Linked DNA regions of Yarrowia lipolytica. The protein of the gene in region 3 purifies or fractionates together with the protein of the main gene of each other region. This does not show direct contact. Links are inferred from orthologs where the notes say so. Each region holds a gene or a part of one and is shown on either strand. Other genes may lie near its edges. The genes, in order: YALI1_D11614g, YALI1_C01720g and YALI1_F36132g.

Evidence for each region.
Region 1: the proteins of YALI1_F36132g (region 3) and YALI1_D11614g purify together in Saccharomyces cerevisiae (affinity purification with mass spectrometry; 3 studies listed by BioGRID). This does not show direct contact. The link is inferred for Yarrowia lipolytica from reciprocal best matches to the Saccharomyces cerevisiae genes RPN3 and RPT5.
Region 2: the proteins of YALI1_F36132g (region 3) and YALI1_C01720g purify together in Saccharomyces cerevisiae (affinity purification with mass spectrometry; 5 studies listed by BioGRID, with this or other methods). This does not show direct contact. The link is inferred for Yarrowia lipolytica from reciprocal best matches to the Saccharomyces cerevisiae genes RPN3 and NAS6.

The regions. Positions count from the first base shown.
Region 1 is NC_090773.1:1,159,658-1,162,569, forward strand, and holds YALI1_D11614g (uncharacterized protein), read right to left. Parts: upstream 1,766-2,912; coding exon 524-1,765; downstream 1-523. Other genes in the region: YALI1_D11623g (uncharacterized protein), read left to right, coding at 2,690-2,912. UniProt on the Saccharomyces cerevisiae protein: The 26S proteasome is involved in the ATP-dependent degradation of ubiquitinated proteins. The regulatory (or ATPase) complex confers ATP dependency and substrate specificity to the 26S complex.
Region 2 is NC_090772.1:170,762-173,260, reverse strand, and holds YALI1_C01720g (uncharacterized protein), read left to right. Parts: upstream 1-1,205; coding exon 1,206-1,892; downstream 1,893-2,499. UniProt on the Saccharomyces cerevisiae protein: Acts as a chaperone during the assembly of the 26S proteasome, specifically of the 19S regulatory complex (RC) and appears to have an overlapping role with RPN14.
Region 3 is NC_090775.1:3,611,610-3,615,178, forward strand, and holds YALI1_F36132g (uncharacterized protein), read left to right. Parts: upstream 1-1,641; coding exon 1,642-3,063; downstream 3,064-3,569. Other genes in the region: YALI1_F36127g (uncharacterized protein), read right to left, coding at 1-1,097. UniProt on the Saccharomyces cerevisiae protein: Acts as a regulatory subunit of the 26S proteasome which is involved in the ATP-dependent degradation of ubiquitinated proteins.

The DNA.
Region 1 (2,912 bases), on a different chromosome or scaffold from region 3:
CGTGTGTTTTGTTTCTGTGTCTGTGGGCGTTTGTGCGCTCTCGGTCTCGTCGTATTCAGCCCAGTTGTGTTCCTGTCGACTATCGTAAGTGGAGATGCAAACTGGAGCGTAAACTTACGGTTTGGCCAAGACGAGCGTGGTCTATGCATGTTCCCTTTGACAACCGGAGCTAAAGTGAAGTATAACGACATACCACGCAATCGTTTAGAACCGGACCGGACAAGGTGAGGTGGACGCGAGGATGGAGACGGACAGCTTATTATATAGATGTCAGTTGTGTTTGTGTCTTTTGCTTCTTGTTTGAGAGCAAGGACTGTTTTTTTTGTTTTTATTTTCCACTGATCTCTGAAATAAGAAGGGGCTTGTTCCCTACGAAATGACATCATAAATAAAGCATGTTTTCTTAGTGAGAAATCATGTTAAAGCGTTGAAAAATCGCAAACCACGGGTACAGCATTTATACAGGTGTCTTTGCAGCCTCTCACGACTCGTACAATTTCATCAGATTAGGTATATAACATACTTATGCATAGAAAGACACGGACTTGGACTTTCGTGCCTGGACCTCGGTGATGGCCTCAACAAAGTCCTCGTGGGTGATCTTGTTCTTGCCAGACCGAAGCGCAATCATACCCGCCTCCACAGTCACAGCCTTGAGCTGTGCTCCGTTGAACTCGTCGGTAGATCGTGCCAGCTCCATCCAGTTGATGGAGTCGTCGCAGGTCATCTTTCGCGAGTGGATCTGCAGAATGTCGGCTCGTGCCGATTCGGAAGGCAGAGGGAACTCAATCTTTCGGTCAAGACGTCCGGATCGAAGCAGAGCGGGATCCAGCACATCGACTCGGTTGGTGGCGGCAAGGACCTTGACTCGGTCGTCGGATCCGAAACCGTCCAGCTGGTTGAGCAGCTCCAACATGGTTCTCTGCACCTCTCGGTCTCCGGACTTGTCCGAGTCGAATCGCTTCGTTCCAATGGCATCCAGCTCGTCGATGAAAATGATGGTGGGGGCCTTCTCCTTGGCCAGAGCAAAGGCGTCTCGCACCAGCTTGGCACCGTCACCAATGAACATCTGAACCAGCTGGGGCGCAGCCAACTTCAGGAAAGTGGCGTTAGATTGGGCGGCACAGGCTCGGGCCAGCAGAGTCTTTCCGGTTCCGGGAGGGCCGTACATGAGAGCGCCCTTTGGGGGCTTGATGCCGAGTTGCTTGAACTTTTCAGCCTGCTTGAGAGGCAGTACCACGGCCTCCACGAGCTCCTCCACCTGCTTGTCAAGACCTCCAATGTCTGCGTAGGTTTCCTTGGGCTTTTCGTCCACCTCCATGGCCTTGACTCGCGAGTCGTACTCTGCGGGCAGGGTGTCCAGAATCAGAAACGAATCCTTGTTGACTCCAATCAGATCGCCGGGCTTGAGAGTTTCAGGATCGACGAGTCCCACGAGCGGCAGAAACACCGTTTGTCGGGTGGACGTTTTGATGACAGCAGACTTGCCGACTCGAGACGCCTCCACGTCAACATTGGCGCCCTCCTCGGCCACCTCGCCCTCCATGTCCAGCAGCTCCACCACGTTGCCAACCAGATACGGCAGCACCTTGTTGTTTTCAATCTTGTCCGCGTTGTCCTTGATCTTCTCGTTCATGGTGTTGCGCTCGTGGCTGAGCCGCTGGAACTCGGACTTCATGATTTTGATTTCATTCTCCAGAAGCCGTTTGCGGTTGAGAATGTCTTGGGTCGAGTTGGACGCAATGTCGAAATCTAGGTCTTCCATTGTCACGGGCAGAGTCTTATGTGTGCGTAGCGGTGGTGTCTAGAATAAAAAGTGCGGGCACAGAGCTAACACGGATTGTGATGATGGTCTAGTTGGAGTGTTGGTTGTGAGCTGAGAGAGGTGCCCTGCGGTGATGTGGTGGACACACTGTTCGAGAAACCTTAATTGCCACTGAAGTGGTAGAGCAACACTGGACACCAAAGGAAGACTGTCGCAGACGATCTAGAGACGCTATCGAAAATCCAAAGACACAGCTCGACGTAAAATCACGTGATTTCGTAATATTGTGTTTTTTGTTTTGGAAATACCGTCAATTGCCGTTGTTTGGATATACTCCTTTGGCTCCAAAGTTATAGCCCTCATCCAACCAACCATTAATATAATTAGTATTAATTATATATGGTTAAATCAATCAGACACACTTCTTCTTGAGTCTTCCAACACTGATATTGGTGAGTCTGTACGTCTTACGTTATCAAAAGGTCTTGATCTGGCCATTAATCACGTCACTCGTGATCTCTGATTAGTCATTATTTGTATATATGTCACAGCACGCCACCGGTTGCCACTTTTGCTTATGTCAGCGATGGCGTTGGTTGACATACAGTGGTCCAAGTGTTCTACACCGGTATGTACAAGACGAACACAGTGTCGATTATGTAAGTAAGGATCCTCTCATTTCGTTTATTAATCACCAAATCCCATTTCTGTACACAGATCAATCGTGTTGGTTTTTTTATTTTTTTTATTTTTCTTTCTTTTTTTTCTTCTTTCTTTCTTCTTTTTTCTTTTTTATTAATAATCAGTCACTATCACTATCTAAACCTAATTCAGCTATCAAGTCACTTGACTATTATGACGACGGCGTGAGCTGATCACCAAAGAGACACCATCAGTACTAATACCGTCCACCTGCCAGTTTGCATGTCACAACCGGAAGCCGCGCTCAACAAGGCGTATTCACTGGCCAAGTCGGCGCAAACGGCCGTCGCCAACAAAGACTATGGTAAGGCGATAGAGAAACACAAGGAGGCCGCTTCTCAGCTGCTACAGGCCAAGAAACTGTCCTCCAACGCGTCGGTTCAACGGGCGCTCGATACCATGTATGCGCACCATCTTGGCGAGTCGTCTAAACTCGAGGGCCTTG
Region 2 (2,499 bases), on a different chromosome or scaffold from region 3:
CGTCGACACGGCTTTTCCACTCACTTTAATTTAAGCCGTATTTTAAGCCATGTCTTAGATCCAGACGAAAAAACGGTCTACCGGACTTGGTACAGACCTTAAACCAGCCCGTCAAAATACCGGTCGAAATACAGTACATTTACAAAACAATATAGGCTAAAGGCCAATATAAAAAAGCGTGTTGTAGTTGGACACGCGTATTGCACGCCCACGTCCAATTGCTCGATATACCACGTACCAGTGCGTACATTGTGTACAGCGGACTGTGCATACACCAGGCGCTGCCGGAGGTTCGGTTTAATTACGTGCTTGTGCTCGGATGCAGGGGAACCAACGGCAGTCACCGTTCTTAGTTTACCGGCATGCCGAAAAAGGCACGGTTTGCGAGCAGACAAACGGGCTGCTCACGACGGCAGAAAATTAATAATCGGCCATTGTTGCGCACTGCTGGCGACGTCCGCCACGTAATATGACGGCATTGCATTACATGGAGGGGCTGGATAAGAAAAATATTGCAAGGCTGATTGGCGATAGATAGCCGAGCACGGTGTATGTTGGGTTGAGTGGGTGGGAGGAGAGCCTTTGGAGCACACTTGTGAGACAGGACAAGGACAAGTGTAGCGGCGTATGCAATTACCCGTGTATCTGGTAATTAATGATGCATTTAGTGTGGGGGTCGAGGCCATAGCAGGTTGGCGACTGGGCAGGCATGGTAATAATCAACAAACGAGAGCCAATGGGCGCTCGTGAAGCTGTCGAATGTCGTTATTCTCTACTGTTAAAGTAACGGTTGGGACAAATACTTGAACTTAGTGGGCTCAATCAAACCCCCTGGTTGACAGCCTTAATTCAACCCCAAATTTACCACCTTGCTGTTGAACTACGGGCTCTAAAGACCATGCTCAAGGTGGAGGGTCGGCGGTCCAAAAGCCCAATTTTCCTTTCCCCACACGAAGCGATGGATCGCAGCAATATTTTCCACCGTCTTCCCCACTCTGCCCCACAGTAGAGCCTCATGATTTCATTTCCTTTGAACCAGACCAAGAAAGAGGTTAAACCACCTCGATCAGGTCACGTGATCATGCATACGGAAATCTGGGGACGCCTCGAACCTTAAGCAATCGTACCATGATCGAAACCTGCATCACCACCACGAACAAGTCCTTCCTTGTACACACAAGCATTTAACACAACAAAAACACACAATGGAAACCAAAGAATACCCTCTCCAGGTGGCTGCGCGGGACGGCGACTTGGCCACAGTGAAGGAGATTCTGTCACGTGACCCCAAGCAGGTGAACCTGGTGGATTCGGACGGCCGAAGCGCTCTGCTGTGGGCGGTGTCCATGGGCCACAAGAATATTGTGGAGTGGATTCTGGACAACCAAAAGCCTGCTGACATTGACCAGACCGACGCTAGTGGCTGGACCGTTGTTCACATTGCCTCCTCCACCGGAAACATTGACATGCTGCAGCTTGTTCTGCCTCTGGATCCCGATGTCAACGAGAAGGCCAATGGAGGACAGACTCCTTTGCATCTTGCTGTGGGCAAGAACCGAATCGATGCCGTGCGACTGTTGCTAGATCATGGAGCCAAGCCCTCAGTTCGAACAAAGGACGGCCAGGGCCAGATTCCGCTCGTTCGAGCTGCTGCCAACGGCTCCATGGTCATGGTCAAGACTCTGCTTGAGAACGGGTCGCCTCTGTCCACCACCGACATCAACGGCTGGACCGCTCTGCATCACGCCATGGCCGAGGGCCAGGGTGACGTTGCTGTCTATCTCATCCAGCAGGGTGCTTCCGCGGAGGCTGTGGACAGCGACAACAAGACCCCCTTTGATGTTGCTGTCGACACCAAGGTTCTGGAATACGTCAAGTCTCAGCTCGCCTAGATGGTCTTATCATGGGATCGGCGACCGATTGCTATTTGTACAGCACAATTGTACGGTCGAAGAGCGCAATTGGGTAGCGAAACTGTCAAGAGCTCACTTGACAAACATGATAGGATGGCTTTGTCTTGGCATGGATCGGACCCGCTATTACTTCTATTTCATAGTCAACCAAATGCATACACTGTTGGGCGGACATTGGTGAATTGCCATGCTATGCTGTGGGGTTCTGCCTTTGCTCCATCATATCAGCTACCTGTAGCGCAAAGAGCCAGTCTAGCCGTACGTGCTGTAACCTTCGCACTTTCCGAGCCCACGGAGTTTTGTACGAAAGAAGACAAGGATCGTAGGAAGGGTAGAGAGTGGATAAAGCGCGTATAAAAGTAGATAGAGAGTTTCGTTAACGCGGTAAAAGGGATGCACGTAGATGAGGTAGGACCAAGCAGCATACGTGTACAAGTAAGTGCTTTACCGGGAATGTGTGTTTTACCGAGTACAGGTATGCACATTGTGTAGTGCTTGGTAACGGTTGAGGTTTTTAAGTGTAGACGAAGAGGTTTAAATAACTGTCCAAGTGATTTGTCAAACAACACAGTTAGACAATCATGCC
Region 3 (3,569 bases):
TGTCTGTATCGCCTGGTGGATACAGCCGCAAGGTTTTCGGCCTCATCAGAGTCGGGCTTAGCATTTGACGAGGGTAGAGACGCCAGAACCTTCTGGACTTGCTCCTCGAAGCCCATGTCCACCATACGGTCGGCCTCATCCATGACCACATAGCAACACTGGTTTAGAACCAACAGTCGCCTGTCAATGACATCAAGCAAACGGCCAGGGGTAGCAACAATTAGTTCTGCTCCTTCTTGTACAGCCAGAGCCTGCTCTTGAGCAGAGTATCCACCAACGACAGAAACCACCTTGAAGCCGAGTGGTGCGCAGAACTTGACTGCTTCGTCTTTGATCTGCATAGCCAGTTCTCGAGTGGGGGCCAAAATAAGACCGTAGGGACCATTAACCTTCGATCTCTCATCTAGCTTGGGTAATTCACAAATGTAGCTGATCAGAGGGATCAGAAAAGAGGCAGTTTTACCACTACCTGTCTCAGCAACGCCAATCACATCCCGAATGCCTAGAGCAATAGGAATAGCAGCTCTCTGGATAGGCGTGGGCTCCTTGTATCCCATTCGAGAGATTGTATCACGTACAATTCCTGGTATTTCCTTGCACTCATTCCACGACCTAAGAGGATTGGGAATATTTCCTCCGCCCTTGGTGACAATGCTGTAATCTTCCTTGAAGATACGCCAGTCACGCGACGTCATGCTTTCCACAGGTTTATCAGACCAGTGTGCGTCCTCCAGGTCACGCTTTTGGCGTTTGGGCACCTGCCCATCTCCGGAATCGATACTGTAGCTGGGCTGATATGCCTTGGAGGTGTCATCTGCAGCACTCCAGTCGAATGAAAACTTTCCAGAGGTTGATTTTGGCTTGGGTTTCGAAGGGAGAGGCTTGGTGGTCTCCACAGTCTCCTGAACAACTGACCTTTTCAGGTCGGTGGTAGATCGAATATCCTTCAACGTAGTCTCTTCAGATGTCGTGTTTTTCTGGATCTGTTTGGCCTTCGCAGCCATCTCGGCCCGCTTAGCCTTGGAGATGAACTTTGGCTTAGAAGCCTCTTTCTTTTGAACCTGCAAAGCCTTGAGCTCTTCTATCGACACTGGCATAGTAGTTCTTGTTGGTACTTGTAGTGAGGTGACCACTTGTATATTATAAATTGGAGTTCATTCAATTAAGTTCATGGTCCATATGCAGCTGGAGATCAAGGTTGTTAAGGTGGGTTGTTACTTGGAGTGGAGGTGCGGAGAGAGGGTGTGCGACAGTGGCGAATATCTGTATCTATAATCCCACATCACGACCAGTACTTCTTATGAAATCATTTAGCTTCATCAACCAACTTGAGGTTCATACATGTATACTCCTATCGCATGCACACATTATGCTATTGTACGCCATAAGTACAGGTTATGAGCTACACCTTTCTGTATAATCTCCATCTAACGACATCAATCCGTCGCTCAATTACCTCAAATGTTGAACCGAACCCCATCTACAGTACGTCTTCTCCCAATAACACGCTGCTCGTTCGGAATCACCTATACGTGACCACTTACAAAAGCACCACCAATTAAGGTTGTCGCCACACATCACCACACTCAATCACATAGGATTCATCACCACACAATCATACTCATTTCAGCACAGACAACCATGACCACAGACCACCCTGTTTTGGCTGAAATCAAGCAATCCTTCGCCTTTCTGGAGAAGGCCGTCGCCTCCTTCGACCAGCGATTCGTCCTGCGAGTCCTACGAGGTCTGCCTGCTCTACGAAAAAAGCTCACTCCAGAATTGCTGGCACAAATCGCCGTCATGACCTACCCTGCTGGCGATGAGCGAAGAAGCGGGTTTGTTGCTCTGGCTGGAGTCAACCCCAACACCGACGAAATGGAGGTTGATGGAGCCTCTGGCGCCACTGAGGCCACCACCCAGCCTCTACCAGAGATCGACATGTACGTTTCACTGCTGTTCCAGGCCTGGCTGCTCCACGAGAACCGAATTGACGACTTGCGGAAACTCAGCGAGCACGTGGTGGCTAGATTGAGAACCTATAACCGACGATCGCTCGACTACCTTGCCTCCAAGATCTGGTTCTACCTGTGTCGAGGTGAGGAGCTCAGTGGCAACCTCGAGGCTGTCCGACCCATCCTGCTGGCATCTCTGCGAACTGCCTCTCTCCGACATGACCCCGAGACTGAGGCCTCGCTGATCACCCTGCTGCTGCGAAACTACCTGCTCTGTGCACATGTGACCCAGGCCTCTAACCTCGTGTCCAAGGTCAACTTCCCCGAAAACGCCGCCAACGCTCTGGCCGCTCGTTACATGTACTATCTGTCCAAAATCAGAGCAATCGAGCTTGACTACACAGCTGCCCACGCCCACATCACTGGAGCCATCCGAAAGGCGCCTCAGACCCCTCTGGCTGCCGGCTTCCTGCAAGCCGCACAAAAACTCAACATTGTGATCGAACTGCTGATGGGCGACATTCCCGAACGAAGCGTGTTCAAGAGCGGACGGGAGCAGAGCCTCAAGGCTTACTTCGAGGTGGTCAAGGCTGTGCGAGTCGGTGATCTCAACCAGTTTGCTGACACAATCAAAAAGTATGCATCCGTGTTCAAGGCCGATGGTACCTACTCCCTGGTTCTGCGTCTGCGACAGAATGTCATCAAGACCGGTATCAGAATCATGTCTCTGGCATATTCACGAATCTCTCTTAAGGATATTTGTATCCGTCTGAGACTCGAGTCGGAGGAGTCTGCAGAGTACATTGTGGCCAAGGCCATTCGAGATGGTGTCATTGAAGCCACCATCGACTCGGAGCGAGGATTCATGCAATCTAAGGAGGTGCTGGACGTGTACTCTACTAACGAGCCTCAGCAGACCTTCCACGACCGAATTGCCTTCTGCATCGGTCTCCACAACGACAGTGTGAAGGCCATGCGGTACCCCATGAACTCCAACCGAATTGATCTGAAGAATGCTGACGAGGCTCGTGAGCGAGAGCGGGAGCTGGTCAAGGAGATTGAGGAGGGCGAGTTGGACGACGATGACGACGAGGATTTTGATCTTTAGATAGGCTAGCATATGATTTTAGAATGTCCACCATTGTAGGTAATGTGTTACGAAATTGTAATTGGGTTAATGGCAGCTGTAGACTACAACGTGGGCGTTTACTTTGTCCCAGACTCCGTTTCTGTGATGCCCTATTATCCTATTTTATTGCAAGTAACCATGTCTCCTTCTCCTTTTAGGCGAGTATAGTATGTGCAGTAGAGATGACAATAACATAGGTTACTACTGTGTACAAGTACGAGGTTATGAGATCGACAAATAGATGTTTTTGGGTTCATTTACACGGGATAATAAGTAATTCTTATTCGTATGACGGAAAACCAGATGATGGTAGCTTTCCTCTTCAAATACCGGTACAGTACAATAGTAATTAGGTACGGGAACTACTTGCAGTACGTTGGGCCAATTCCTAAAAAACTCAAAATTATTGCTGCAGCTGCAAACCACCATCTGAAGATGTAAATATCACCGAACCTTGACTCACGACAATCACCGACACAGGGCAA